Linked DNA regions of Notamacropus eugenii. The protein of the gene in region 3 interacts with the protein of the main gene of each other region in a pairwise test. Links are inferred from orthologs where the notes say so. Each region holds a gene or a part of one and is shown on either strand. Other genes may lie near its edges.

Region 1 (7,842 bases), on a different chromosome or scaffold from region 3:
ATGATATCTGAATATGAATGGCCATATGATAAAATTAAAAATAGAAGAAAACTAGATTAGGTACCTATCTCAGGTGGGGCTAGAGGTATAGTTCTTGACCAAACAAGAATGAATTTAAAAGATAAAATGGCTAATTTTGACTACATAAAATTAAAAAGGTTGTGAATAAACAAAATAAATATAATTAGGATAAAGGAAGCTGTCAATTGGGGCAAAAATCTTTGCTTCAAATGTCTCTGATAAGGGTCTGATGTCTAACATTTAAGGGAACTAATATGAATATATAAGACAAAGAGCCATTTCCTCAATGGATGACTGAAAAAAAAAACAACACAGTTCTCATAAGAATAACAAATTATTAATAACCATGTGAAAGACTGCTCCAAATTACTTAAAATTAAAGACATGCAAATCAAAACAATTCAGGTTTCATCACCAGGCACCAAACTGGCAAAGCTGATGTTGGAAAGGCTGCAGAAACACAGGGACACTAATACACTGTTGGTAGAGTGAAAACTTGGTCCAAGCAATCAGTGTGAAATTATGCCAACTGACTAAAATGTCCATACCCTTTGACCCAGAGATTCCTTTTACAGGAGTAGGTTAAAGACAATGGTCTCTCATACACCAAAACATTCATAGCAGTACCTTCCAGGGTAGCCAAAAACAGGAAGAAAAAAAAAAACCCACCCACCAATTAATTGGGAAAAGGCTAAAAACCGAGGTGTATTAATTCAATAGGATAGTATTGTGCCATGAGAAATGGAAAATAATAATTCAGAGAAGCATGGGAAGACCTATATTAACTGATAAAGAGTAAAGAAAAGGAACCAGGAAACAATACACACAAAGACTACACAATGTTAATGGAAGGAATTTTTAAATGATGAAAATGGTTATGTAATTATAATGAACAAGTTTGTCTCCAAATTACTGCATATACTATGACTATTAGTCAGGTGATGTGCTAATTAGTTTTGCTGAACTGTTTTTCTACTCTTTTTTTAATCCTTTGTTACAAGTTACAGTTTCCTCATCTGCAAAAGGAGCTGGAGAAGGAAATGACAAACCACTCCTGCACTTTTGCCAAGAAAACCCCAAATGGGATCACAAAGTATCAGACACAACTGAAACAAATGAACAACAAATACCACACCATTACAGAATAAACACCTATTATCCATTGCCAGATTCAGATTGCTCAAAAAGCTCCAGTACCTCCCTACTTCTTCTGGGTTAAATAAAAACTCATAATTCTGTTTGTTATTTAAAGCCCTTTACAATCTGTCTCCAGACCTTTCTAAGCATATTTCACGTTAGCTGTCTTTACCTATTGTATATTCCAGTGAAATTGTCCTACTTTGCCCTTCCTTCATATGTGATACTCCATCTCAGGTCTATCACAATCTATTTCTATCTCACCTCTTCCTCTCAGAAGTCCTACCTTCCTTCAAAGCTCAGCCTGAAGAGTCCTGTTCTATATATGGCCTTTCCTGATTCCCTAGCTACTAGAGCCCTCATCTCCAAAGACTGTATGGTAGGATAGGTCAGGGACTTTTTTGTTTTTCTTTGTACCCCCAACACCTGGCACAATGCCTAGAATGTAGTAAGTGTTAACAAATGCTTTTAACTAGTGAACGAAACTGCACCTACTGTTCTGAAAATGACATTATATAGCAATCCTCTTTTAAAGGTGTACTTAAGTTCTCTCATTTAGAAAATTCCTTTCTGGTATATTTCAATATCGTTTGTCCAGAAGGGGTTAGAAAAATTCAGGTATCTAACCACAGGTACAAAGACAGAGGAAGAAAAGAGTAGGCACATCTTTTCTTATCAAGAACCTGGCATAGGCTATAGCACTATCCTCCATATCCTCTACTCACTTTTAAAGAAAAACAATTCGGAATATATAAGCTATTGGGAACAAAAATGTCATTATAGGAAAAAAACAAAACCAGAGGCTTCCTTTAACTTCCATATAAATGTCTGGAAGGCTTCTAGGGAGGATCACAGTATCTATCACATGCTTCTACTCACTTTCAGACTTTTCAGACACTCACCTAACTGCAGAGATGACTCTTCATTTGGAGGCAACAGTGAAAATAAAGGGCAGAAATCATTGCCCTTAGGTAGCTTCATCCATCAACATGCATTTGTTAGGCCCCCTGCAGTCACGAAGCTTACATCCCACAGGAGAAACAACATATACACATATAAATAAATGCAAAATATACTTAAGATATAGGAGGGCAGAACATACTACAGGTTAGCAAAGGCAAAAAAAGTAGGAAAGGCCTCTTGTAATAGGTGATGCTGAGCTGAGCTTGGAAGGAAGCTAGGAATTCGAAGAGGCTCAGGTGAGGAGAAACTGCATTCCAGGCATAGGAAACAGCCCCAGCAAAGGCACAGACAGGATGCCTCCTGCTAATATGTGCATACAAACCTAACAGAACTAGAATTTAGTCTTCAGGGTAGGGTTAAAAGAGGTGTAAAGTGGTTCTCAAAGATTTCCCAGGTTTGGCTCCCAAGAACCACCTAAATTTACAAAAAGGGCATAAAGAAAAGGCATCCTCTTCTACACACTTTATCTACCAGGGCAATTCTTTCCAAAGAAGGTAGTTACAAAACCTTAACGTCACCAGCAGCCATTCAGGGCCCAAATTTGTCAGACAAAAGGCTGAACAGAGGAATACAATTCAAGGCCTCAAAGCCCCAGGGTATGGCTCCATTCATGTTTTGGACTATCAGGTAAACCAATACTTAGGCTTTCCCACCAAAGATCGATGGAAAGCAAGGCCACCATCCAGGGATCCAGGGAAAGCAGAAGGGACTTCCCAAAGATCACAGATTTAGGGCTGGAAGAGACTTTAGAGGCCATCGAATACAACTGTATAGACCAGGAAACTGAGACTGAAAAAAGGTTGTGGGACTTGCCCAGGATCAATCAGCTAACATCTAAAGGTGGGATTCAACAACTCCAAGTCTTCCTCACCCTGAAGTCTGACGAAAAACTTGAGCACAAGATCTCCGCTACAATCTTCTGTGGAAAATATCTTGGAATGGGGGAAAGGGGCAACGTCGTAATGAAAAGTTCATTTCACTTTCCTATTGCATTTGCCTTGGAAATGATTCTTCTAATGTAACATGGGTGGAATTTTATTTCAAAATTTCGTTGCTAGTTGCTAGCATGAAGTACATCAAGCAAGAGAACTTCGGGTTCTCAAACTTTTTGCCTTAACGCTTCGTCCATAAGAATTTATTAAGTGAAGCCAGGCACTGCGCTATACGCTCCGGGGACACAAAAGAAAGAGGAAGGGTAAATCTCTACCATCAAGGAGCTCACAGTGGGGGACAACACGAATACACAACCACTTATCTGTCGAGTCAACAAGCAATTATGAAGCGCCTTCCCCTTACCAGGCACAAGAAAAGCTCTCCTGGAGTTCACGTGTAGTGGACAACCTGCAAACCATGTACACACTACAGACTGCATCAGCTGGAGATAATCTACAGTTGGAGATGGGACCTCAATTCCTGGACGTTATTCAAACCTCAAGTCTTTTTCTTAAAAGCATCAACATGCATCAGCTACAAAAAATCAAGTTCCTCCCCACCGGGGCAGAAGAAGGGCGTTCAATGCCACCTATGCCCCACCCCCTTTCCTTTACAGAGTAGCGGGTAATAACAATACCGGCTAAAGTAGCTAAAGCTCCGCCCCTCCTCCCCCACAGCCCCGGGGCCACATTCCTTCTCGCCAGGGGGCCCCTTAACCAAGGACCCCAGAAACTAGGACCAGCGAAGCGCCCCCAGCACGCGCGGGGTCCAACCCACCACACCGGCCGTTTCCGACTCGGGATTCCTGCGCCGCGCGCGCTCCACGAGCCCCGCCCCCTCCCGGGGTCTGCGCGCGGGAAGGGACCGAGGACTGGGGGAGTAGTGGGGGAGGGGGTGGGGGTTGCCTCCCGCGCGCCGGGTTCCTAACGGCCCTACTCCCATCGGCCGAGAGCCCTCCCCACCCCCCGGGCCCCCCTCCTCGGTTTCCCAGTGTCACCAGACACATCCTCTCATATACACACTCTCAGACACACAAACACACACACCCCTCCCTCCTTACCTCAGAGCAGCGTCGACTCAACCCGGGGGGAATCGGTGTCGCGCCGCTAGCGCGTCGCAGGAGGCTGGGGACAGCGAGAAGGAGGATGAGCTGTCTAAGCCAGAAAGAGCGGCGGCCGCGGCTAGAGCCTGGTGCCCCTCCTCACCTAAGATAGGCTAAGCGAAGCTCCCCCGGGCCCAGCCAATCGTCCCAGCTCCGCGGAACAAAAGAGCCCCGTACTCAGCTCTGCCCGCCGCGCGCAACGCGCAGGCGCCGCGACCCAACGCGGGGCAGTGTGGAACTTGAAGTCCCTCCCAGACTACAAGCCCCAGGGTACTGCGAGGGAAGGAACGTGGTGACGTCACCCAACGAAGCTCCAAGCTCTGGGTAGCGGCTCCAGGGACTAGTACTGTCTGATTGGATTGTGGCACGTGTAATCAACTCATCTAGCAACAAGCATTTATTAAGCGTCTAGAGACCGGGCAGGTTGCTAGGGATACCGAGAGACAAGTGCAACTGTCCCTTTGCTCGCGACGATCTAGACGTAGAAACACATTCACATATGCCTTTGAACCAGTCTTGTGAATTCAAACGTCTTGGCAGTTCTCTGTAATTTCTATATTAAGATTACTGTAATAAATAATTACAGTACTTATTACAAATTAAGACATATTATACTATTGTAAAGTAAGAGGCATATTTATTAAGATATAAATCTAAACGGTTTGCCTGGAATGTTGGGAGATTAAGCAACTTACCTCGGGGTTCTGAAGTAGAATTTAAACTGACTGAGACCAACTCGCTCCCCACTTACCAACACCGCTTCCTCGTTGTCAAAAATGTATACAAAGTAACGAAAAAGGTAATTAAGTAACCATATTTAGGGCTCAAGGTACTAGCGCTGGATGGGATCGGGAATAGCCTCAAATAGGAGGTGAGGGTTGAGCTGCAACTGAGTTTCAGTTTCCTTTGAATAAAACTAGAAATTCTTTGAGTCTCAGAGTTGAAAAGGGAATTCATTCCTGGGAAAAGGGGGGGAGAACCCGGCGAAGATAAAATGTCCCTGATGAAGAACAAAGAAGTCCAGTTTGGTGGGTGTAGAATTCAAAAGGAGTGCCAGGTGGTAATGTGTAGTAGGTTTGAATTAAAATAGGCTGGAATTTGTAGCGGGAATAGGGTTCCGCGCCTGAAGTCAATTAGGATTTACAGCTCTGCAGTCTAGGCAGGTTGAGAAAGGTGCATTAAATGTTACTGGATAACATTTTTGACTGATAAATCATGGAACTTAAAGCCCATGGAGCATCACAGCTCATCTTTTTTTTTTTTCTTCTGTCCCTCACAAGTATATGTTTTCCACTAGCCTTTCTTCATTTTCTTCCCCCTTCCAAGGCTAACCTGTACTCTTGATCCCTATCTCTTCCCCCATCCCCACCTTGTCTAAGATATTGATCTCTCAATTACTCCTTCTTATACGTTGCTTTCAGTCTGAGATTTATCCAGACTTGTTTTCTGACTTACCCATAAAGTTCCTTCTCCTGACTTTGCTCTGACTGTTCCGGTGGCAAGGAATTCACTGGCTTCTTTCAGAATCCCTGGTTTTCTTTAAGATTTAACTCAAGTTCCACCTTCTATATGAAGCCTTCCCTGATTTCTGCATCAGCTAATATACTCCCTTCCCAAACTACCTTGTAATTATTTTGTATATATGTATATTACATACACAAATATAAATGTCTCCCCATAAGCTTTGTGAGAGCAAGGATTTCATTTTTGTCTTTGCATCCTCAGTATTTAGTATAGTGCAAGGCACATACAGGTGCTTAGTAAGTGCTTGTTAATTAATCAATTCTTCTCAAATCTTCAATCTTTTCATTTTGCTCATTTCCTACTATCAACAAGTATGCATAGATATTCAACTTACTCTTCCCCTCAACCTCCTCTCCCCGCTAAAAAAACCTTAAAAGAACCCCTTCCTTTTGATCCTGCTTTGCCCCTAGGATCTATTATCCTGTTGTCATCTTCTGTTAGTCAGATAATAGGCTTTTAGAGTTGGAAGAAAACTTGTAAATCATCGAATCCAATTTCCCCCCCCCTTTAGAAATCTCTTCCATAAGATACCTGACAGCTTGTCATCCAAGCCTATGCTTGAACAGAAACACCAAATCATAGACTTCCTTCTTCTCCACCCCCAAGTCATCTCTTTCCCCCTTATAAACATCTCCCGTTCCTTCACTCATTCATGTGAGAGACAACATGGTTTCTTGGCAAAAATATTGAACCAAGTCAGGAAAATGGGCAATTCTATCCTTTTCTTTTATGATCTGTGCTGATATGGCAGAAGCAGTGACCTTTCAGTCAGACCCTTCCTTTGTCCCACATCCAGGGGGAGTTTATCAACTCACCTTTAGAACAGATGTGCACCTAAGGGTTGAATGGAGCGTAAGTAAATCATCCTTCATCTCCACCCTCTATAACCAGCCAAGCCTCATCTTATCCAACTATCCTGCCTCCAGCCCTGGACCAGAACACCAGGGTCACAGCAGCATATGTGTCTTATCATGTGCTCTTGCTGTACTTTTTGCTCTAGGAATCATAATCAAATCAGCCACACCACTGAAACACCCTTTCCAGTAGTAGTAGACATATCCTATAACTTTACTCAGAATCTCCATAATTGAGAGTCCAGGCTGCCTAGCTTACATGGTAAGCTCCCTGCTTATATGACAGGAAGAGGGGCAGCAGGATCAAGAGAAGGAGTGGTGGGGTTTTTTGGCAGGATGACTGGAGGGAAGGTTTGTGATAAATCAATCCATAATCATTACAAAATTTTTTAAAATTACAATTGACAAGAATTCATTTTTTTCTCACTTTCATCTCCACCCTAATGGAAAAAAAAAAGACAAAATCCTTGTAACAAATACGCGAAACAAATTCTTACATTAACTGTTGGGGGACAGCTCTGGACCAGGGTCCCCTGTGAGGACCGTGAGACGCCTGAGGGTCCAAACCTGCCCCCTTGTGGGGTACTGGGATGGCCCTGGTAACAGGCTGACTCCACCCGCGGGGAGGCACTTGGGAGGAGCTCGCCCGCCCATGGGAGGTACGGGGGAGGAGACAGGGATAATAAAAGGGGATGATCACAAGGGCTTAGAAGGAGAAGGAGAAGGGGAAGAAATGCAATAAAGCTTGCTGACTGCAACTCCTTTCGGGTGCTCTGCCTGTTTATTGCCCTCCCCCAACCGGGAGAGGGGCCGGAGACGTCCGAAGACCGGGGATCGGTAAGTGGAGAGGCGAAGGCCCAGGAGTAGACCCCGGGCAATTAACCATGTCCCAAAATATTTATCTTATTCTGCATCTGAGTGTATCCCCTCTCTGTCAGATGGTGGGTGACATGATTCATCATTGTGCCTCAGGAAGTATGATTGGTCCTTATATTGCTCAGAGTTCTTAAGTATTTCAAAGTTGTTTGTCTTAACTGTGTGGTCATTGTATACGCTCTTCTGGTTCTGCTCACCTGACTCCATCTATTCATATAAGTCTTCTCCAATTTCTCCGAAGCTACCTTCTTCATCATTTCTTCTAGCATAAGAAGTGTCAGTGGGGACAGAGAATAGGATTGGTAAGGATGAAAGAAGAAGAAAAGAGGAATGTTAGAGTTATGGACCATTACATTCCTATACCATAATTTGTTTATCTACTCCCCATTTAATTTATTGTTGAATTTAATGATGGGTACCCATAAATTTCCA
Region 2 (6,968 bases), on a different chromosome or scaffold from region 3:
CAGACACCCTGACCTGGACAGGCCTTTGGAGCTGGCAGAGCCCAAGTTACAGCCCAAGAGATCTGGGTTTTTCCTTATCGCTAAGATGCCAGCAGGGTTTGGTAAGGGGGTCCCCAAAAGGTGTCCTCTAGGTTAAACAAAGGACCACTAGGTCCAGGCTCTTCTTAATCCAAACTATAACAATCTAAAGGTTATAACAAAGGGTTATCAAGCTCTGGCCTTTACTGCCCAAAACCCTCCCAGGCTCTAGACCAGACCCAAAGCAGGGGGGCTGGGGGAACCCTGCAGGAGAGTCTTCAAATGGATGCAGGGGCAGCTGCGCGGGGGGCGGGGCTGTCCCGCCCAGCACTGGTAGTGGGGGGCCCGGGGTGCAGAGGGCTACCCCCCTCTGTCTCTACACCTTCCTCCCTCCGCAGTCAGGGACCCCGGCCTCTCCTGGCTCTGGGCAGCCTCCCCGGCCGACCCCTGCCCCCCGACTTCCTGCTAGCCCCAGCTGAAACCCCACTTTCTACAGGGGACCCTCCCCAGCGCCTCCCTCCGTGAGCGCCTCCCCATCTACCCTGCCTCCAGCCTGCTTTGTAGGCACCAGCGGGCACGTGGTCTCCGCATCAGATGGTAAGCGCCTCCAGGGCAGGCACCTGCCGGGCCTTAGGTATGCCCGCTGCTTTAGTTCTCCGCAAACCGCGGGCACTAAATAAGGAGGGCTTGACCCGACACGGCCTTCTGGGAAATGGAGTCCAAAGACTCTCCCGGCGCCTCATGGGAAGTGAAGTCTTTGTTCATTTCCTTCTCCCAAGATCCAGGGGTAGAGGTGGGAGGGAAGCCCATCCGCCGGACCTCGAGGACTAGGCTGACCCCGCTCAGGGGAGGGCCTGCCCTTGAACCCAGCTCTGTGTCCAGCCCCCTTCCACAAGTAGAGGGGTGCGATGTGAATCGGGATGCACCTCTTCGCGGCGCCCTCCCGTCCCGGGCCGGCACACCAGGGGTTAAGCGGCGGGGGCGGGCCAGTTTGGGCCCAGCCGCCCCCGTAGCCCCGCCCCCGCCCAGCAGGGCGGTGCCTTCTCCTGCCGCCGGCTCCGGCGAGAAGGGGCGGGCTCAAACAAGGGCCGAGCCAATCGGGTTCCGGTGAGGCGCGCTCTAGCCAATGAGAGGGGGGAGCGGGGTCCCGGACTAGGAAGGCGCAGCGGCGGGGAGGGGAGGCTGGGACCATGGGGCTCCTGACCATCCTGAAGAAGATGAAGCAGAAGGAGCGGGAGTTGCGGCTCCTCATGCTGTATCCTCGAGCTCCCCGAACCCTTGGGTGGCCGGGGGCCAGGGAAAGGCGCGGGCGGGCGCTACCACGCGCTCCCCCGGGGTGGGGGGAGGGAGGACGCGCCGCTCTGGGCAGGATCGTACCAACTACCCTGCGCGGGTTACGTAAGCCGGGATCGACCAATAGCCCTAGGAGGCGGTGGGTTGGGAGTTGGTCCGTACCATCCGGGACAAAAACGGGGGAGTGCAGGCTGTAGGGACTGCCCCCACGCAGAGGGGGGTGCGGCTAGAAAAGTGGAATGGGCCAACTACCCCGGGGGCATGGAAGGGAGCTCGCGTGCACTGGCGGGGAGGCGGGAGATGGAGGGTCCGGGATTTGGGCTAGACCCTAGCAGACTGGATCTCGGGAGTCCCCGGAGCACAAGTCCAGCTCGTTGCCTCCTTGTGTGTCCCAGGCACACAGTAGGAGCCTCATGAATGCATGTTGCCTTCCCTCTCATAGGGAGCTTCACTTTGTGCTAGGCTAGTTCTTCGAGGGCAGGGCCCGAGCGGGTTTCTTACTGTTCATCTTGGTGCCCCTAGTGCCAGGCACACAGTAGGTGCGCACCTAGTTTGTGGAAGGATCGAGGTGACCTTGGGCAAGTCACTTCCCTCCCTTGGGAGGTCCTGCCTCCGAGGCTCCTTAACTGCCGCCCCAGCGGTCTGGACAACGCAGGCAAGACCACCATCCTAAAGAAGTTCAACGGGGAGGACATCGACACCATCTCGCCCACCCTGGGCTTCAACATCAAGACCCTGGAGCACCGAGGGTGAGGGACGCCCCTCCCCAGGAGCTGGGCGCACAGCGCGGGCCGGCCGCGCCCATCCACCCTCTCTCCCTTCCTCCTCAGGTTCAAGCTGAACATCTGGGACGTGGGAGGCCAGAAGTCCCTCCGCTCCTACTGGCGCAACTACTTTGAGAGCACAGACGGCCTCATCTGGGTGGTGGACAGTGCTGACCAGCAGCGCATGGAGGACTGCCGCCGGGAGCTGGAGAGCCTCCTCGTGGAAGAGGTGCGCCAGCCTGGGGGCTGTCAAGTGGGAGGAGTCTGAGGAGGAAGGCCCTGCCTTCTCACTTACCAGAAAGGGACACTGAGGCACAGGGAAGAAGGAGCTCCTGTCTTTGGATCTCCACCACATGACAGAATGCCTAGCTCATTGTAGGGGCTTAATAAATGCTTGCTTGGTTGAAAAAAAGATCACAGGTCCACATTAACTTGAATCAGCATACATTCGTTTCCTGCTGTTTACCAGATACTGCGCTAGGCAGCAGAGATTAGCAAAGATATGAGAAAGTCCTCAGAGAGGACTGGTCTAGTGGAGGGTAAGACAAGTGCAGAGGCAGAACAGGAAGTAAGCGTTGTAAGATGAGGTTATGGAGTGAGGAGGGCAGATGGCCAGAAATGGAAGAGAATGAATTGGGGGGGGGGGGGTGCAGGGAGTCACATGACAAAGCTGGAGAAGTAGGTGGGGACTGGGATGCCAGGCAGCCCAAGACTGGGCGAGATGCCCAGTCCAGCTCTTTGCTCAAAGACCAGGCAGCTGTTTCCTGTGGACTTTTCTTGTCATCGTATCTCACTGACAAGCGCCCACAACCCCATTCACGTCCCTTTCCCTAATGCTGCCCTGGGAGTGGTGCTCACAGTGGCTCATAGGCTGGCTAGCTCAGAGCTCCCAGGTTCCTTCCTGGCCCTACCACCACCTTTCTTTCCCTCTTAGCGCCTGGCTGGAGCCACTCTCCTGATCTTTGCCAACAAGCAGGACCTCCCTGGGGCTCTCTCATCTAATGACATTCGAGAGGTGAGTTGAGGCCTCCAGGTGGCTGGATGGGATGGAGGGTTGGGAGGGCTGCTGTCTGAGAGTCACTCTCCCTCCTTCAGATCCTGGAGTTAAATGCCATCCGCAGTCACCACTGGTGCATCCAGGGCTGCAGTGCAGTGACGGGGGAAAACCTGCTTTTGGGGGTTGACTGGCTCCTGGATGACATCTCCAGCCGAATCTTCACTTCAGAATGACCCCTCCCCTCCTTGCCCTGGGTCACCGGTTCCTGGACTGACCCCTCGACCCAGCTGAAGGGCAGCCCCTCCACACATCTCCAGCTCCCACAAACCATCCCTCTGTCCTGCTTCTCTCTGATCCAGGGCCCCCCAGGGAGCCAGGACTGGGGGGGGGAGGAACGGAAGCCCAAGGGACCCCAACTAATGCCTCCTCCCTGTCATAACCAGATGCTGCTTGTGCTATTTAACAGGAGAGACCCTGCTGCTCTGTTGGAGAGCCTTCCTCCCTGGGGAGGAGTGGCCCCCATTCCCTATTTCTGTCCCTCCTGCAGCTCTCTGTCTGTGGATTGGGGGAGACTCCGGGAGGGCCCCTTCCTCCGATCAGCTGTGGGAATAAAGTCCTCTGTGCCCCTCGCTCCTGGCTGCTCTTCTTCCTCCCAGGCTCCTCTGCTGTCAAGGGAGCTTCCACACTCCCTCCCCATGCTCCCAAAGAGAAGGGTGGCCCACTCTGCCAGCAGTTGAGGGAGGGCAGGAAAGGCCAAGTCCAGAAGGCAGCTCTAGAACTGTCTGGTGTGGATGAGGACCTGGAAGAAGCTGGGCCTGCCCCGCCACCCTCCAGGCCCCTGGCCTTGGCCCAGCTCGCAGTAAACCAGTGGCCTAAAGTGATCTGGTTCTCAGTGGCCCTTGAAGTGTTGGGGGAGTGGGCTTGGAGGGGGGTGAGGGCCTCAGCGGCCCCACCAGGGGACTCATCAGTGCCAGCCTGACGTCTTCCGCCGTCCGGGGCCTCAGTTTCCCCACGTGGGAGTGGGCTGGGTTTTCCCTGAAGTCTATCTCAGGGCCTGATATGCAGTAGGTGCTTAATGAATGCCTGTTGCCTGGAGTCCAGGGCACCGATGGCCTTCCCCAGGCGCCAGGGGGCGGCCTTTCCTACGGAGTAGCTCATTCTACGCCTTTCCAAAGAACAAAGAGTTTTAGGACCGTCCCTGCGTGCACCATGGAGGGGCATAGGAGTCAGGAAGAGAGGCCAAGGAGAGCCTTGCGCAGGCGCAGAAGAGGCGGTGCCCGTCGGAGGCTGGACGGGAGGGGAGGGGAGGGGACAGCGTGGAAGAGGAGGCCCGTGGCCAGGCCGAGGCGCCGGAGTCCTGCGGACTCCGGCTCCTCGAGGATGTCCCTCAAGGCTAAGGACGACTACCGGCGGCTGTACACAGTGTCGGACACGCGGACCCATCCCAAGGGCTACACGGAGTACAAAGTGACGGCGCAGGTGAGTGACCGCAAAGCCCCTTTAAGAGGAGGAGGAGAAGAAGAAGAAGAAGAAGAAGAAGCCCCTTTAAGTAGGCGGGGCCGGACCGTTCCATCCTCGAGAGTCAGGCAGGGGTGGAGCCCCTGAGCGAATTTAGGACTATACTAATTTACGGGGGAGGGAGGGAAGACTAATCTGGGTTCCTTTAACGGAGACGCAAGGGGCGGGGCCAGCATGGGCGGGGCCAGCATGGGCGGGGCCTAGCTGCAGAGTTGTTTGGCTGGGGTTACCTCCACCTTGCGCAAACAGGTTAATAAAGAGCTGGGAGCTGCTGCCTCCCTTCGCGAAATGACCCCCGTTGCGGCCCGGAACACACCGGGGGCGGCTGGGGAGGGCGGGGCGCGTTGGGGAAGCCTCAGCTTCCTCCTCTGTGAGGCGGGCACCCCCTCCCAGGGTGGCTGAGGCAGCCGAGGTCGCAGGCGGTGAAAGCACCCCCGGAGGTCCGAGCCCCGCTTAGCGTCCCCGGCGCTTAGTAGGACTTGAGCAGCGCCGCTTCCTGGCCGGCTTCTCCTCCGCTCACTAAGTCATTAATGGCGTCGGCTGGGGGGTTTTCTCCCCAAAACCTCCTGTGCTAGGGCCCCCGGGGCCCCACGCACCTGTCCCGCTCAGTGCCCTGGGGGCGATCGCCGAGCCCCACCCCCTCCCTGGGAGGCTGCTGCTCCCTTGCCCAAGAGGATCTGAGTCTGGGGGCCCTCCGCGACCTACACGTTTTCCCATTTGGGGGGGAGGAATGCTGTCATCCCCATTTGCAGTGGAGGTCAGATGATCTGCCCAGGGTCACCCAGTTGGCACCTCAGACTGGATTAGAATTCAGGTCTTCCTCCATCTAGGATCCACTCCCCTCCCCCACCAAATGGCCTCTTCTCCCCAGTTATTGTGGAGGCAAGGGTGGCCTTGTCCTCTGATGTGGGGGGGTCTTGGGGGGCTGAGCCTGGGGCAGGGCTGGGGGGCCAAGCGGGTTAGCCCCTCACTGGCCCTGGCTTTCTTCTTCCTCAGTTCATCTCCAAGACGAACCAAGAGGATGTCAAGGAGGTGACTGTTGGGGTGGGTGGGGGGCGGGTACCCTTGTCTCCTGCAGGCAGCCCAGGGTGGGGCGGGGGGTGGAACGGCCAACTGCCCGGATCCAGTCCAGTCCCCTCTGGGCCTCAGTTTCCCTGAGTGCAAAAGGAGGGAGCCAGACGGTGGCTTTGCGTCCCGCTCGGGCCCAGGTGGTCATCTGGAAACGCTACAGCGACTTCCGCCGCCTGCATGGGGACCTGGCCTACACCCACCGAAACCTCTTCCGCCGCCTGGAGGAATTCCCAACCTTTCCCCGGGCACAGGTCTTTGGTGAGTGTCCGAGGCCGGGCCAGCCCTCAGTCGTCCAGCCTCCACAGTTGTCTGGCCCCAGCAGCTGTCCAGCCCTCAGACATCCAGCCTCAGTGGCTGCTTTGTCCAAAACTGTCCTGGACCACAGGGCCTGGGGGTGGGCAGTGGGGAGCACTGGCCCAGACTGCGTTGGCCACCCCATGCTGGGTTGTGACCCCCAGCCAGAAGTGGACTCTGCCCACCTCCCCCAGGGCAGCTTTGGCCTAGCCTCCACACTAATCATGGGATGGGGCTGTGTCATAGTCAACGGAGAAACACAAGTTTTGATCCAGAACAGAAGAGCGTTGGTGGGTGGTTTGTTTGGTGGGGGCCTGATGGTGTGCCGGTGTAGGCCCCCCAGCCTAGCCACTGCCAGGGGGAGGGGAAGGAGGCCTAACGGCTCTGGCGTGTCCTTGACCACAGGCCGATTCGAAGCCTCAGTGATTGAGGAGCGGCGGAAGGCGGCGGAGGCCATGCTGCGCTTCACTGTCAACATTCCTGCCCTCAACAACAGCCCACAGCTCAAGGAATTCTTCCGTGTACGTGCCTCCCCCTCCCTGGGAGCCATCTGGTGCCCATCACTCCTGCCTTGGTCTTCCCCTTGGGTGGATTCAGGGATCTCTGAGCACTGCTCCTGGATCCAAACTCAGTCCTTTGTAGGGTGGGGACGTGACCCGGCCCTTAGAGCCCAGTGACCTGCACATCCTCCCGCCACCCCTGGTGCCCACATCGCCCTCGGAAGATGCCCACCTCCCCCAGCCTCTGCCAGCGGAGCGGCTGGGCCGGGAAGAGCCTGAGGACGAGAATGAAAGGCCAGGTACTGAGGCAGGGAAAAGCTGAACTCAGGTCTGCAGGTGCTCAGCAGACACGTAGCAAGGGCTGCCCTTCCCCAATACCCCCATTTCTGATAAGTGCACCCCACTGGGGGATAGCCTGGAGTGGGCCAGTCACCTGACTGCTCAGGGCCTTGGTTTCTAGATTTGTAAGATGAGAAGGTTAGACTGGACCAAAGGCCTCAAAGTCTTGTGGCT
Region 3 (7,008 bases):
TGAAACAACTTTACTATGAGAGCTGGCATCCATACACATTCTAGTAAATTATCCATGTATGACCTCTAACAAAATGGTCCCTTCAACATTTGAGGTAACACCATAAAAACAAGAAATGTTTTGTTTTCAGAAACATTAAACTGTGACTTCAAATATATATTGACATTTACTGCATTTGGTTTGATTTCTTCATGGAATTTATAAATGGCTTTGCAGCTTTAGATTGCTATAAGAATATTCACCAGTATCTTCAAGACATGCACAGTTTAAAGAGATAGTGGCATTGTAGCAGATCAACTAGAGCTGTAGGTTTCATGTTCATAATAAGACAAAGATTAAGCAGCTATGAAGTCATTATTATACTTAGTAATAGACAAAATAGCTATGGAAAACAAGGTGGTTTGGGTTTCTTTTTAATGATTCAGGTTGATGACAACCTCCAAGTAGTTATTTTTCTTTTCTCTCAAAGCTTAGCTATTCTCTGTTATGAATGTTGTTCAAGTCATTGGAATTGCCTGGCCATCTTTGTTTTTTTGTTTTGTTTTGGTTTGAGAAATGTTTGCCTGAAAAAGCTCTGGAGGTGTACTAGTTTGTGAAGTACCTATAGCAGTTTCACTGGTCTATTTAATATATTTGTCCCATTGTGTTCATGATTAGTTCTTATGCAGCTTTCTTGATGGTTAGGTTATTTGGATGACAGTATCAAGAGTCTCATAGTTTTCCTTTCTGTGTGAGACTGAGAGTTTAGGTAGAACTTTGAATCTACTATCACAATCCGTCTTAAATTCTTTATTAGGTTCCAGATGCCAAAGTTTAAGGCTGAAATTTAAGATAAAGTCATCTAGCACTCCAATTAACCCTCTCTCTTCACCTTCTTGTTATACTCTAAATGGTTTTCCAGTGTTGTGACCTGCATTGTAGGAGTTTTCTCCAGTGTTTGGTTGGTCTAATCTGTAAAATGTTAAGGAAAGAGCCATTTAAAATTTCTGATCAGGGCAGTGTGAGTACAGCCAAATATTAGAGTATTAAGTGCAATCTTAAGTCCCCTCTTAAGTTACAGGCAATACTTTAATCCTGAAAAATCTTCCCTCTTCTGTTCTCAGCAATTACTTTTGAAGGTTGCTTATTTGAGTAGCACCCAAACAAAAGGAGCTGGTTCCTTTTCTGTGCTCTTGGCAGTTCTTCCCTCCTTTTAGGACACATAAACTATGATTCAGCCAATTTCTTTAAGCCTAACTGAACTGCTCATTCAAAAGAAAATGGCAAATTATTTACTATTATCACCCTTGAATTTTTTTTTATGTGAAATTAGATGAATGTCAAAATCAGTGACCTTCCATTTCTCACTTGGCTTACATATCAATAAAAGTGAATTAGGATATTTTATTTTCCTTAGACTTTAGAGTTAGGATATTGCTAATATAACATTCAGTGAAAGACTGGCTTATGCTTTGATGTTTCTAGTTAGAACAAAATAGGGTAGCTTATCTAGATATGGTAAAAAAAAAAAAATTTTTTTTGATATGATGGAAAAGAAATTTACCATACTATGAAGTTGTGTGGGTTTTGTTGCACTTTTCCTGCTCCTTATAACCTGTATTGGGAATAGCAACATTTCAACTTCATTAACAAAAAGTGCAGGACACTTGGCCCTGGCCAAGAGAATCTCTCATTTAAAAGGGTAGATTGTAAAACAAGCAGACTGTAGATCAATTGGTTTTCCATACTCAATTGTGTGGGTTTATTAAGGAAAAACTGTTGTACTAATAATGTAAAAATGTAATGCAGTTGTTAGATGTATTTTCAAAAGTGGTAAATAGTAAAGAATTGCATGTTGCTCAGAAATTCAGAGTTGTGGAAAGATGCTTTGTTTTTATTTTTTAAAAAAACAAGCTGATTTAAATATAAGCATATTTTTACAACATTCAAACCTCAGATGTTTTGTTCAGCTCAAGAAGTTATACCCCTTGTCCATTACTATTTTCTGGTGTGAAACACTTTTCTTTTCTCTACCACTTTTAGTGGTAATCACAGTATGTGACATGAATAATTTCTCCATTTACCATTATTGTGAGGGCAAATAATTTAAAATGAATCTTCCTTTTTCCTAACAGAAATGTATAAAAGGAAGTGGCTGCTCTGTACAAAGATTGTATTGCCTCCCCAATGGATGTAATTTTGTGAGTGTATCACACACACCAGCTTCCTAAAAATGTTTATAATGCATCTTTTGAAAAAAAAATTTACAAGCAAACTTTGTGCATACATTGCATCAACATGGCAAAGATTGTATAAAATACCTTTTTCAAGAAATAAAGGTTTAAACTCAACTGGGCTAATGTTAAATTCTGAATTTATTGATCAAAGCAGACTACTAAAAATACTTCTAGCCCTAACCTAAATATTAAAGTCTTCATCGAACTTCCTACAGCTCTATGATGTGTACAATTTGTTTATTACCCCCAACAAAGTTTTCTTAATTCTTAAAATGTTTCAAAGTACATGTTGTATCCAAACTGGATAAAAGAATTATCACTTCAAAAAAATTTCAGTATGGTTGCAAAATTGAAAAACCTTTAAATCAAATACAGGGACGTTGTGGTTTGGAGCCATGGTTCCAATTGCTTCATTTGGAGAATGTTTTTTTTTTAAATCCAACCATACTAGTGTCAAAATAAAGATAATTATAAATTTGCTCAAAAGTTGGATGAGCTTATCAGTTTAATTTGTAAAGTCTGCTGGTAGGTGTGTTTATCCTGTTATGATTTGGTACTTTTCAAAGTAAAAAATGAATACAACCTCTCATCTGTTTATATTACAAAAGCTGAAAAAAGGAGTGGGGAAAGAATCTATAAGTATGAATGTTTATAAGTGAAACATTTAGAGAACTGAAGATCTAATCCATTTTTTTCTGTTTATAATTGGAACATTATTAACACTGTTAACTCTGTAGGGTTTTTTTTCCCCTTTCCTTAAAAAAATTCCAAAACTGCTCATGGGAAACTTCAGTGGTAAAGGTGGGGAAAACTTAGTGGAAAACTCAGACAACCTTACCTATATAACTGTTAGGCTGTGAATATGGAACAAGTGCACAGGAAAGTTCTACAATACAGATCATATTCCATATAGTACCTAAAAATTCTATTATCTTACCATAGGTACTTTACCACCTGACCTAAAGCATTTTTTTTTCCTTAGGGCTGGATTTTCAAAATAAAAATATGTTCCTGCAATTCTGTGGGAGACAGTATTTTTCACATAAATTATTCCCCTTTATCCTCAAGACCTTTTTTGAGGAATTTAACTAGTTGAGGGTATTCCACCTTACCTATTCAACTTCAATACTTCAGTCAGTCTTGAGTTCTTCCCATCCCTCAAAGATATTTTATCATCTAAACTTTTCCTTTCACTCCTTACCCTTCAAAAAACAAAAGAGCTCTTCAGCGTTTCTTTAACATTGAATACCAGTCCTGCTTGGAGTGATCTGTAACCACCATACCGTATATGACTCATCTTGCCTTCAGAAGTAAAGCAACAGTTGAGTCTTTGGGAGATTCTGATGTAAAGCCACAAGAAGTTCACGCTTTAGCTGTCCAGTTTTAAAGGGCATGCCGACTGTTGCTAGGCAGTTTCTAAAATAAAAATGGAAGGGGCAGCCATGTGGCCCAGCGGATGCAGCACTGGGCGTGCAATCGGGGAGACGGGTTCACACACCGGCTTTGCACCTAGCCTGTGGTAACGAGGATGCAACGTTTACAAAGCCCTTTCCAACTCCAAGGCCGCTGCCTAAGTGACCCCGCTGCTTTTAGATCTCTGTCCAGTCAGGCCTTTGGCGCCGCTGGAGACGGCTGTGCGGGCCGAGTGACCCCAGAACGCGGCGGGGGGAGGGGTGGCTCCGGACCAAGCCCAGGAAACGCTGGCACAAGCTCGCTTGTGCGCATCACAGTGGGCGGCGGGCGGGGGTCAGCACGGTAACGTGGTTTGCCCAGGACCACACCGCTGGTGATCTCGGGTCCTCCCGATTGGGACTACTCAGCTGCCCCAGCCGCATAAAACTCAAACACCAGGCCCTCCCCTCCCTAAACGTATGGCCATTCTGTTTTCATTCGTGGACTTCTACAAAATGGGGATGAAATATAATGGGAAAGCTCCCGTCTGCTAAGAGCTGCTGCCAGCTGGAGCGCCTCGTCATTTTACCGAGAAGATGGTCCTAGGAAGAGAAAATTCTGCGCCTGCGTCGCGCTCCACGCGCACGCGCAGACGCGCTCGAATCTCTTCCGTACCTGTGACAGTTGAACCGCTTCCGAACCTGTAATGGGGAGGGGAGGAGAGGGAGGGCTTAGAAGGGATCCAAGGGTTGATTGGCCAACCCACACATCTCCCCGCCCCTCAACCCAGGCCTTTCTTTATATCTTTCTCAGCCTCGTTTTGAAAACATGCACCGATTCGTGGTTGGTTGGTATGAACTTCAGCTTCGCCTGAATTCTACCAATGAGAAGACAGGCTCGCAAGACCTGTCGGGAAAGGGAACCGGCCTATAAAAGGACTTGAGGAGAAAGGCCTTCTCTGTTAAGGATCCTGCGCAAGGTTGTTGGCGTAGCGTTGTTATTTTGTATGTACAGATCCCGAGGCGGTGGCCGGTTATCCTGAGAGGTGCTACAGCGACCATGGCCGAGGGGGACAATCGCAGCACCAACCTGCTGGTGAGTAGCCCGGAAGCCCGTAGCCAACACAGGTCTCAGACCTGCTTCCCCTGGGTTACTTAGGTGCCGCGGCCAATCTGGTAGCCTGGCCGCCCCAGGTCGAGGCTCGCGAGCCGAAGTAGGGTCTTCATCCCTGTCCTCCCGGCTCCGCTGCTAATGCTTAAGTACCGTTGTTTGGGCCTCGAGGGGTTTGGCTGCCTAACGATCCTTCCTGAGTGGAGCCTGCGCGGGGGAGGAGGGAGGGGGGCAGGGGGGGGCAGGACGGGCCGAAGGCCTTGGTCTAGTCGTCGGAAGAAGAGGTGGATGGATAGATGGATGTGAGCAAGACGAAGAAGCGAATCCAACTTGACCCTGCTGTGCTGGAGCTTGGTCAGGCCCTTTACCCTAATCCTCAGTGTTCTCCTCCCCCGCTTCCGCTCCCTTCCGGCGAAAACATCGAGGTGCTGGGCAGAAGTAGAATTTTCCTTGTTTTCGAATGAGTTCATCTGAAGGTGAAGGCTTCTTGCTGCCCAGAATGGGTGGGGAAAGCTGGAATGGACCGGTGACAGCAGATTACTTAACGCGTGATTTTTGGAAGAGCGGCGGAATGCTTGTCATTTGACTGGGATTTGGGTGTCAGACATTCCCGGGCTCTCGGAGCTGGAAAAGGGTCTTCGAGATTATCCGGGCCAACACCTCTTTAGAAATGAGAAATGCTCAGATCTGGCGCTGATGGCTTAGAAAACCTGGGTGTTCTTTCCTCCGTGTGCCCTGGAAGCTCGGTTCATTTAAATGAAAAGTTTGGAGTTTGGCATAGTCATCTCATGGAGGTCATGAAATAGATAAGGCCTGGTAGAATGTTAGGAAGGTAGCAGTTTTAAGATCTAGAGGTAGAAGGGAGCTTCTTAGAGAGCATCGCATTGGCCCCTTCATTTTGCAGGTGAGGAAAATGAATCTCTATAAAGTACAATGACTTGCATGTTTTAAGATAAAGAAATACTAGAGTATTTCTCATATGATTAATTCTAAGGGATTTTTAGAAACAACTGGATTTCACATTAGTTTTTAGACTGCAAACAATTTTTTAGCTGTATTATTCATTTTTCTTATGTTGACCCTGCTACTTCTTCTGTTTTTTGCTTATTCAAGAGCTTCACTTTGAGACAATTTGAGTTCCTCAAATTCTCCCACAAGCTACAAGGAGAGTTGTATTGAGTTTAAGATGGAACATCCCAATTTGATGAAATCAGGCTTCATCTCTTTTATATGTTAATGCAATATATCTCTGTTTCAAGTGATGTTAAAATCTAGTGGTCTCTTGTTACAAGAAAGTTATTTTGAAAATTGAAGGTTGTCTGGAAAATCTTAAAAAATTGAAAGACATCTTAAGAGACCCTCTTAGTCCAAGAAAGATGTAAATCCCTTTTATTAACCTTATTTTATGCGTTTACTAAAATGGTGATTTTTGTTTTGAAAACTACTGGGGCCTGAACCTAGAATTAATAATCCTTTGATAAGGTTACACTAAATAAAAATTTAACCTTTCAACCTAATGACTTTATTAATGTTTTGATGTCTTTTTTCTTTATATCACCTATATTTCCCAGTCCATCCTTTTACCATCTTCCCCCTAGAGAGTGACCTCTTATAACAAAGAAGAAAAAGCAGTTCAACAAAACTAATCAATACATCAGAAATGTCTGACATCATATGCAGTGTACCACACCTAGGTGTCTTCTGTCTTTGGGTCTAAGCTTGGTCGTTATCATTTTACAGTAGTTAGGTTTGCTTGTTTTCTTGTTTTTCTCATGAACATTGGTTGCAGTCATTGTTTACTTTATACCATTCTGCTTATTATTTCCTTTACTTAGAGTTTGTAAGTCTTCTCATGCTTTTATTTATTGATAGCATTTTCATTATTTCTTTTGGCACAGTATTATTTCCTCACATTGATGTGCCACAACTTGTTTAGTCAGTTCCAGTTGATGGAAATAGAATTTATTTTCCACTCTGTGCTTGTACAAAAAAGTTCTGCTATAAATATTTTGGCATGTTGGGGGAGGGGGTCTATCACTGACTTTTAGGTGACCCCTGTAACTTTTTTAAAAATTAGAATTATTGGCTAGTTTCAGCTGAGAATGTGTTATGAACATTGTAGCACCATAAAAGAATTTAGCTTTCAGATAGCCAGGACTACTGTTAAAAATATTGTAATAACTGTTTAAAGTATTTCTTTATGCAGGCTGCAGAAACTGCCAGCCTGGAAGAACAGTTACAAGGATGGGGAGAAGTGACGCTAATAACTGATAAACTCCTTCGGTGGGAA
Region 4 (6,931 bases), about 380 Mb from region 3:
AGATCAAGGGATTTGTTTGAGGCCAGACAGTAAGGAAGCAACTGAGCCAAAATTCAAACCCAAGTCTCTGCCCCATACTCCAGGCTTCTCCTACCATAGCATGGCCTTTTATCTGGTTCTTCTTAAAGAATCATGGCTGCATGTTCTCAATGCCTCCAACCTGTCACCTTTGCAATAAAACACAGTTTTTGTGGCCCTGAAACTAGGAGTTCTGGTGCCTAGGGCCAATTTGGATAGAAGCTGGAGCCATAGAGAGCAGACTAATCCCAGATGCTCCCTCTAGGAGAGAGGATGGTCAGTTCTCAGAGAACGCAGCTCATGGGTGGCTACTGGGGATGGCTACTGGGAATGGGGGGAGCTCAAGCCTGGGTTAATGGCACCAGGGTGACAGGACCCTAACAGATAAGACCTTAGCGGTGACATTCCACTACCTGCACTGCTGATCAGCATAGGAGCGAAAACATTTCTCCATCCTTGGGCAGAGGCCATGCCAGTACCATAGCCAGGCTCTCTCATGAGATAGTGGCTAGAGGGCTGGATTTGGAGTCAGAAAGACAAAAATTCAAATCTCACCCCAAACATTTATTCTCTGTGACCCTATGCAAATCAATTAAACTCATCCTCAGTTTTCTCATCCATAAAATGGGTATAATAACAGTATTTAAGCATTAACCTATGTAAAACACTCTGCAAGGCTTAAAATGCTATACAAATGCCAGCTCTGTTGGAAAAAAAAAGACTTATTTCCTGAGATTGTCATAAGGGTGAGCACAAGAGCAGTTAGAGGGACAGGAGAGTCGCTTTCCTAGACATGACAAAGGTCTAGACAAGATTCACATCTTTGACCAGACAGGCAGAAATTGGTTTTGTTTCATCCTCACTCCCTCCTCTCCCTTTTATTCTGCATTTTTAATCTACTCTATCTTCCCATGACAAGGCTATCTCAAATGAGCTTCTCCCACTCCTGAATATCAAGGACCCTGTTCCTTTCACTCCCAAATAGAATTCTGCCTCCAAAACAGAATCTAGCTCTTATAGTAAGCTCAGGTTTTCCTTCCACAGGAGGAAACAGAAGATGCACTGGGCCCAATAGGTGTCCTTTATTGGTCAGTAAGTAGGAACTTAAATTTGCCACTGAGAGAAATTCTGCATTGGTTCCCTTTGACCAGTTGAATTTAGGGAAGGAAACAGATTCAGAGCCATATGGGACAGGAGGGAAGTAGGGAGAGACTGTGGAACTGAAACCCTAAGCTACCAACACAAGGAAGCACAGAAATGACAGGCTGCCAAAAAGCAGTAACTACTCAAGATTCATTGTTTTTAAATGCTCCATTGTCAATCTTGGATTTTATGCCTTTTTATGTCTCCATCTGCCTCCCCTGATTGAAGCCTCCCCTCTTTTAGTGAAGCCAAGCAGTACAGTGTCTGGGTCACCTCATGGATACTGTATTCCACTTCCCTAGCTCCCCACCTTGAGGTGGAGGAGACAAGCTCACTACCTTTCTTATCAGATTTCCAGGACCAAGGTCAGTAGAGCTGTTTTTGCTCAATGGCAGTCATTGTATTCCTTATTTCCCTAGCTCTGCTTTCTTCATTCTCCATTACTCAATGCAAGTTTTCCCACGGTTCTCTGAATTCTTCTTCTTCCTCTTTTTGTCTAGGCCTGAGATTTCTTTAGTGTAGGGAACTCCAGGTGAAGAAATTCCCTTTACCAATGCAGAGTTGTACCTGCTCTGAAATGTAAAAGTCTAGAAAGCTGCCTAGGTCCCTAAGGGGCTACACAGCCTGGCATACAGTAAGCACTTAATAAAAAATTTAATAACAATTATATTGTTTATTTATGATTATTGTTATTAATAATAAAATGTTTGTTGACTCTATGACTCTATAACTTGAATCCAGAGCTTCCTGACCCTGAGGCCAACTCTCCATGCTCTACTCTGTGCTGGCCCCTCATCCTTTTTTATAACAAAGTAATTTTCATAGAATTCAGTCAGCCAACAAGCACTACTTAACAAACATTAAATACTTACTATGTGCCACTGCTAGAGACAGAAACAATACAAGTCTCCTACAGATAGAAGGGAGGATCCCAGAGAGCATCCTGGCCAGTCACTTCATTTTACAGATAGAGAAACTGAGCCCTGTAGAGGTTGTGCCTTGCCAAGGTCACACAAGTAAGCAAGCAGCAAAGCAAGGATTCGAACCCACATCATCTCCCTTCAAATCCAGTGCCCTTCTTCTGCACCGCTGGGATCCCTCATCACGTCCATCAAGTCAAGCACCTATTACATGCCCCTTTTATTCTGCAGGAAATACCGGTACCCATTCTCTCCACCCAGCATTTTCTGGCCAGTTTTTCTCCCTCCCTCATCTGTTTTGGGGCTCCTGCTCTTCTCTGCAAGGGGTTACCCCTTCCCCCAGTGTAAAGGCACTAAGCCAGGTACAGGCTCAACCACACCTAAGTCCCCAGGCAACAATTGTGTTTGCAGTTGGGTTTTGTTTTTTTCTGAAACCACAAAGTTCACCACAATGAATATTTCATTATAGATGGAACCTTCCTTTCTATCATTTTCCTCCTTGGGGAATACATTCATTAGGGAACTCTATGGGGCAAAAAGTATGAACATTTTAATGACTTTTCTTATATAATTAAGATTCATTTTAAAGGTGCTTAGAAATAGTTATTAAGAAGGAAGTTCACCAAAATAGGCAAAAGAAATGGCTGTCTAATGCAATAAAATGCTTCAGGCACATGTGATTTCCACAGAGGGGTGCTCTCCCTTCTCACCTCGGCCCATTGGAATCCTTTCTAGGCTCAGCTCAAATGAATAATGAATCCATAAATATTATTAAACACCTACTATGTGTTAGGAGCTTTGCCAAGTGCTAGGCATACAAAAACAGGCAAAACACAGCCCCTGCCCTCAAGGAGCTCACCTTCTAAAGGGGGAGGCTTGAAAATAAAGCAAGCTGTTCTCCAAGAGGCTCTCCACAGTCCCCTCCAGAGACCAGGGGCTTTCCCCCAATATACTTGGGGAAAACACCTATAATAAGTGAAAGTTGTCACTGTGGTCTTTGTATTTCCAGCACCTGGCACATGCTTAATAACACTTCCTGACTGATATAATTGGACAGAGGCGGGAGATGGACCCAGGAGGGGAGGGGAGGTCCAGCTGGATTGCTTTGGGGAAGCTGCCACCTTTTAATGACCCCAAGTTCTCCCTGGGACACAGGCCCATCTTTTTACATACCAATCTTCTTTATGGCTATGACCAGGAGAAATGGAATCCCAAAGAATTAAAGTTGAGGTTCACCCCAAAAAAACCAAAAACAATGGAGAAGAGCATGACGACCACCCTGAAATGCATGATAGTTAAGGAAGCTTCTTGAGGTCGGGGGCTGTCTTTTGCCTCTTTTTGTATTCCTTGGCAAAGCGCCTAGCACACAGTAGGAGCTTAATAAATGTTTACTGAATAAATGAATGAATGAATGAGAAGAGGGGCAAAGAATGCCATTGAAGGAATGAATGAGGGAAGCAAAGAAAATAGACTAACCAGGTAGAGAGAAGGAGGGAGAGAGGGAGAACTGATGGCCAGTTCATGTGTTCCGCCTGCATCCACCATATCTGCAGAACAACAGGAAGGCTCCCAGCACTTTGGTGGGACCCGCTAACATTCAGGGTAGTCCAGGGACAGTATAACTGGAAAGAAAACACATGCCCAAGAACTAGAGGATGGCTAACCAAGCTCTAAGAAATATGCCTGAGCTGTAAGAAATGATTACTAAGACGCATAAGAAGATTTATACGAACTAATGCGGGGGGCAGGGGGGAGGAAAAAGACATACTACCCACAACAATGGAAACAGAAAGAACCACCCCACCTCAAAACTGAAACTGACGCTATGAAATTTCAATGACCAAATGTGACATCGTTGATCCTGGACCAGAGCTGCAGCCAGGGGACGGTGATGGGCAGACAATGAGACCACGCACCCACTGGAGTCCTGGGGCTTTTGCTGACCCTTGTTAAGCTCCTAATTTAAAAACTCTAGGAACAAACCAAAATGCCCCTCTCGATGATCCTGATATTCTTCCAAGTCTGGTACTTTTCTGTGAAATGCTGGGTTGGAGCTGGCTTTATTTTTCTACCTAGGTAAAGTCTATCCGCTAAACAAACAAATTCTCAAATGGGAAAAATGATTTGGTAATGAGGATGGGAAAAAGGGCAGAAACTGTGGGAATGAAGCACAGAGGATGGAAGAACTCTGCTCATTGCCCTTTAGGATCCTCAGTATCATGAGGCATTGGATGGAAGGAAAGGAAACCTTGTGTCTTGGAAAGCTCCTACGTGGTTTCCTTACTCAGAGGTTCCAGGCTGGCTGTCTGCCAGGAAGCACCACCTAACAGGCCCTCACATTTGCTTCATGTTGGCACAAAATTACACAATCTTAGAGGGCATCAAGGCCAATCCAGAACTGAACAGGAGCCCAGTCCCACCCCCTCTACAACCTCCTCTTTGCTTGAAGACCTCCAGGGACAAGGAACTCACTACCTGTCCTAGTTAATTAGAAAACTCAAAATGTTAGGAAGTTTTCCCTTCAATTGGGCCAAACGTTGCCTTTCTGTAATTTCCACCCACTGCTCTCAGTTCTGCCTTGTGGGATTCAACAGAACACTACTGATCTGCTTCCACATGATGGCCCTTCAGATACTCCTCAAAAGCTTTCATGCCCCCGTTTATTACATTTCCTCTTCTGCCCAAATTCTAGATTGTCAGTCCAATCAGGACTAAAATATGATGCTTAAGAATCACAAATAGTCCCGGGGACAGCAGCCTTCACTAAGTCTTGCCCACCACTTGGAAACCTCTGTTGCCCCAGATTCCATGCCTCTTCCTTCCTCCCTTAGCCTGCTTGTCTTCCCCCAAACTGAGCCTGCATTCAGATTCACATGGAAAGGATCCAGCTAAATTTAGACTAAAGTGTGAATGATGGTGAATGCCTCAATGCATACCTCACTTTATCCCAATGCAGAAACCACCTTATCCCCAAAGTAATCGATGTATTCATGGTGACACTTAGACATCAATTACTGATGAAGGCATAGTATTTAAGGCAAAACTATTCTCTTCATTTCTCCCTCCCACCCATAGCTCCCCAGAGTGCTGTAGTCCTCTTTTCTGATCAGCAATGTTTGTGGCAGCCAGGTGGCCCAGTGGCCTGGAGTCAGGAAACCCTGAGTTCAAATCCAGCCTCAGATACTTCCTAGCATGTGACCTTGGGCAAGACAGTTAACCTCTGCCTGCCTCGGTTTCCTCCTCTGTAAAATATGGATAATAATAGCAACTACCTCTCAGGGTTATTGTGAAGGTCAAATGACATAGTACTCGTAAAACTCCTAGAACAGTGTCTGGCACATAGTAGGTGCTTTAGCAATGTTAGCTACTATCATTATCATAGTAGAGGGAGCCTCCTTATCAAGGAAATCACAGAAAAAATAATACAATAACTAAAGCCCTGAAAAGAATAAGTAGATAAAGCAATTGTCCTGGAGAAACAACTGAGTCTAACGCCTTCTTCATAGCAGCCCCCAGGCTCCTGAGAAAAACAGAGAAGCTCAAGCTGCTCCTCCCCAACCCTGGGTCATAGATTAGAACTCCCCTTCTGCACAAAAGCCTCCATCAAAGCTTCTCTGCCACCCAGATACCTGCTCCGCCCCTCTTCAGATTCTTGGCTGCATCTCTATCACTGGGAGTGTAGATTCAGTCTGGTGCTATGAATCATCTTTATTAAAATATGTGCCCATAATATTTTAATTGTAAATTAAAGCTTCACGCCTGGATGAGGCTGAATGCATTCTCATCTGACTGGGGCCCTCAGCCAAGGCCCATTAATGGGAGGCTCATCACCCCCACACCGTTGTTCTCGGTGGGAGGGGAGGAGAACCAATCTTGGGGGGGGAGGGGCTCTGGCCTATCCTTTCACTCCTCTCCCTAGATTTATTAAGGCAATAAAGTTGTTTTACCAAGGCAAGCTGCAGCGGGTCCCCTGCACCCATCCTCCATAGAGGAAATGAAAGGGCTAAATTTCCAGCCTGGTACTGCCCAGTGGATGACCCAAGGGTCTTCCTCCCAGGGCACCAGGACCCTGGAGAGAAGAGCGGGCTAACTTCAGCCTGAATGGAGGAGAGGGGGAGAATACAGAAATGCTTTAGGCCAAGCCGCCTCCAGCCTGCAGCCCATTCTCCAGCAGACACAACAGCTCCCACCCAGACCTTGCTCGCCCCGCCAGCATCTGGACTGAAATGGAGGCATGGGCCAGTAGGTGGGAAAAATCTCTCTCCTATTTTAGGCTCTAAGAAAACTTCGCAAATGGTGAGGTGACTCCCCATTGCAGCTGCTCTCTGGGGACTTCACCCATACACGCAAATTGGTATTAAGAATGGAAGATGTAATTTGGAGAAGTAGACATTTAAGAGGATTTAAAACCAGCAAGGAGGGGGCTCTTGGCAGTTTTTATGGGGAAGCAGCACCAAAGAGCTGCATTATGGGAAGCCAGAAGTGTTTAGTTACCACGAGGTTCCTCGTTGAGCACAGAAGGATTTGGAGTTGGGAGGGGCCTCTGGGAGGCATTGTAGAGTTCTGGATTTGAACTCAGGACTTCCTGATTCCAAGTCCTATCTTAGAAACTTACTCATAACCCCAGAGAATTGGCTTCAATTTCCTTATCTGTAAAGTGGCGATACTAAAGCACTCACCCCACAGGATTGTTGAGAATCTAAGAAAATAATATTATGTTACATTAATATTGCTAATTTTAAGTCATTATATAAATGCTAGCAAGTATCCCCACTGGTCCAATCCAGCCTTTTTTTACAGGCAAGGAAACGGAAGCCCAGGCAGGAATAAGAGCTGGAAAGAGCTTTGGA

Evidence for each region.
Region 1: the proteins of ARL6IP1 (region 3) and SNX11 interact in binary tests that used the Homo sapiens proteins (3 or more experiments, as listed by UniProt). The two-hybrid records come from large-scale screens. The link is inferred for Notamacropus eugenii from reciprocal best matches to the Homo sapiens genes ARL6IP1 and SNX11.
Region 2: the proteins of ARL6IP1 (region 3) and SNX15 interact in binary tests that used the Homo sapiens proteins (3 or more experiments, as listed by UniProt). The two-hybrid records come from large-scale screens. The link is inferred for Notamacropus eugenii from reciprocal best matches to the Homo sapiens genes ARL6IP1 and SNX15.
Region 4: the proteins of ARL6IP1 (region 3) and SNX10 interact in binary tests that used the Homo sapiens proteins (3 or more experiments, as listed by UniProt). The two-hybrid records come from large-scale screens. The link is inferred for Notamacropus eugenii from reciprocal best matches to the Homo sapiens genes ARL6IP1 and SNX10.

What each region holds. Positions count from the first base shown.
Region 1 is NC_092873.1:353,054,595-353,062,436, reverse strand, and holds the start of SNX11 (sorting nexin-11), read left to right. Parts: upstream 1-4,837; 5' UTR 4,838-4,955; intron 4,956-7,842. UniProt on the Homo sapiens protein: Phosphoinositide-binding protein involved in protein sorting and membrane trafficking in endosomes. Regulates the levels of TRPV3 by promoting its trafficking from the cell membrane to lysosome for degradation.
Region 2 is NC_092873.1:17,764,241-17,771,208, forward strand, and holds the start of SNX15 (sorting nexin-15), read left to right. Parts: upstream 1-3,947; 5' UTR 3,948-4,281; coding exon 4,282-4,551; intron 4,552-5,586; coding exon 5,587-5,622; intron 5,623-5,798; coding exon 5,799-5,919; intron 5,920-6,360; coding exon 6,361-6,476; intron 6,477-6,597; coding exon 6,598-6,754; intron 6,755-6,968. Other genes in the region: ARL2 (ADP-ribosylation factor-like protein 2), read left to right, coding at 1,209-1,273, 1,950-2,060, 2,142-2,304, 3,010-3,090, 3,171-3,305. UniProt on the Homo sapiens protein: May be involved in several stages of intracellular trafficking. Overexpression of SNX15 disrupts the normal trafficking of proteins from the plasma membrane to recycling endosomes or the TGN.
Region 3 is NC_092874.1:400,666,885-400,673,892, forward strand, and holds the start of ARL6IP1 (ADP-ribosylation factor-like protein 6-interacting protein 1), read left to right. Parts: upstream 1-3,992; 5' UTR 3,993-4,311; intron 4,312-4,408; exon of another isoform or gene 4,409-4,421; 5' UTR 4,422-4,667; coding exon 4,668-4,703; intron 4,704-6,924; coding exon 6,925-7,008. UniProt on the Homo sapiens protein: Positively regulates SLC1A1/EAAC1-mediated glutamate transport by increasing its affinity for glutamate in a PKC activity-dependent manner.
Region 4 is NC_092874.1:17,419,925-17,426,855, reverse strand, and holds the start of SNX10 (sorting nexin-10), read right to left. Parts: upstream 3,006-6,931; 5' UTR 2,598-3,005; coding exon 2,529-2,597; intron 1-2,528. UniProt on the Homo sapiens protein: Probable phosphoinositide-binding protein involved in protein sorting and membrane trafficking in endosomes. Plays a role in cilium biogenesis through regulation of the transport and the localization of proteins to the cilium.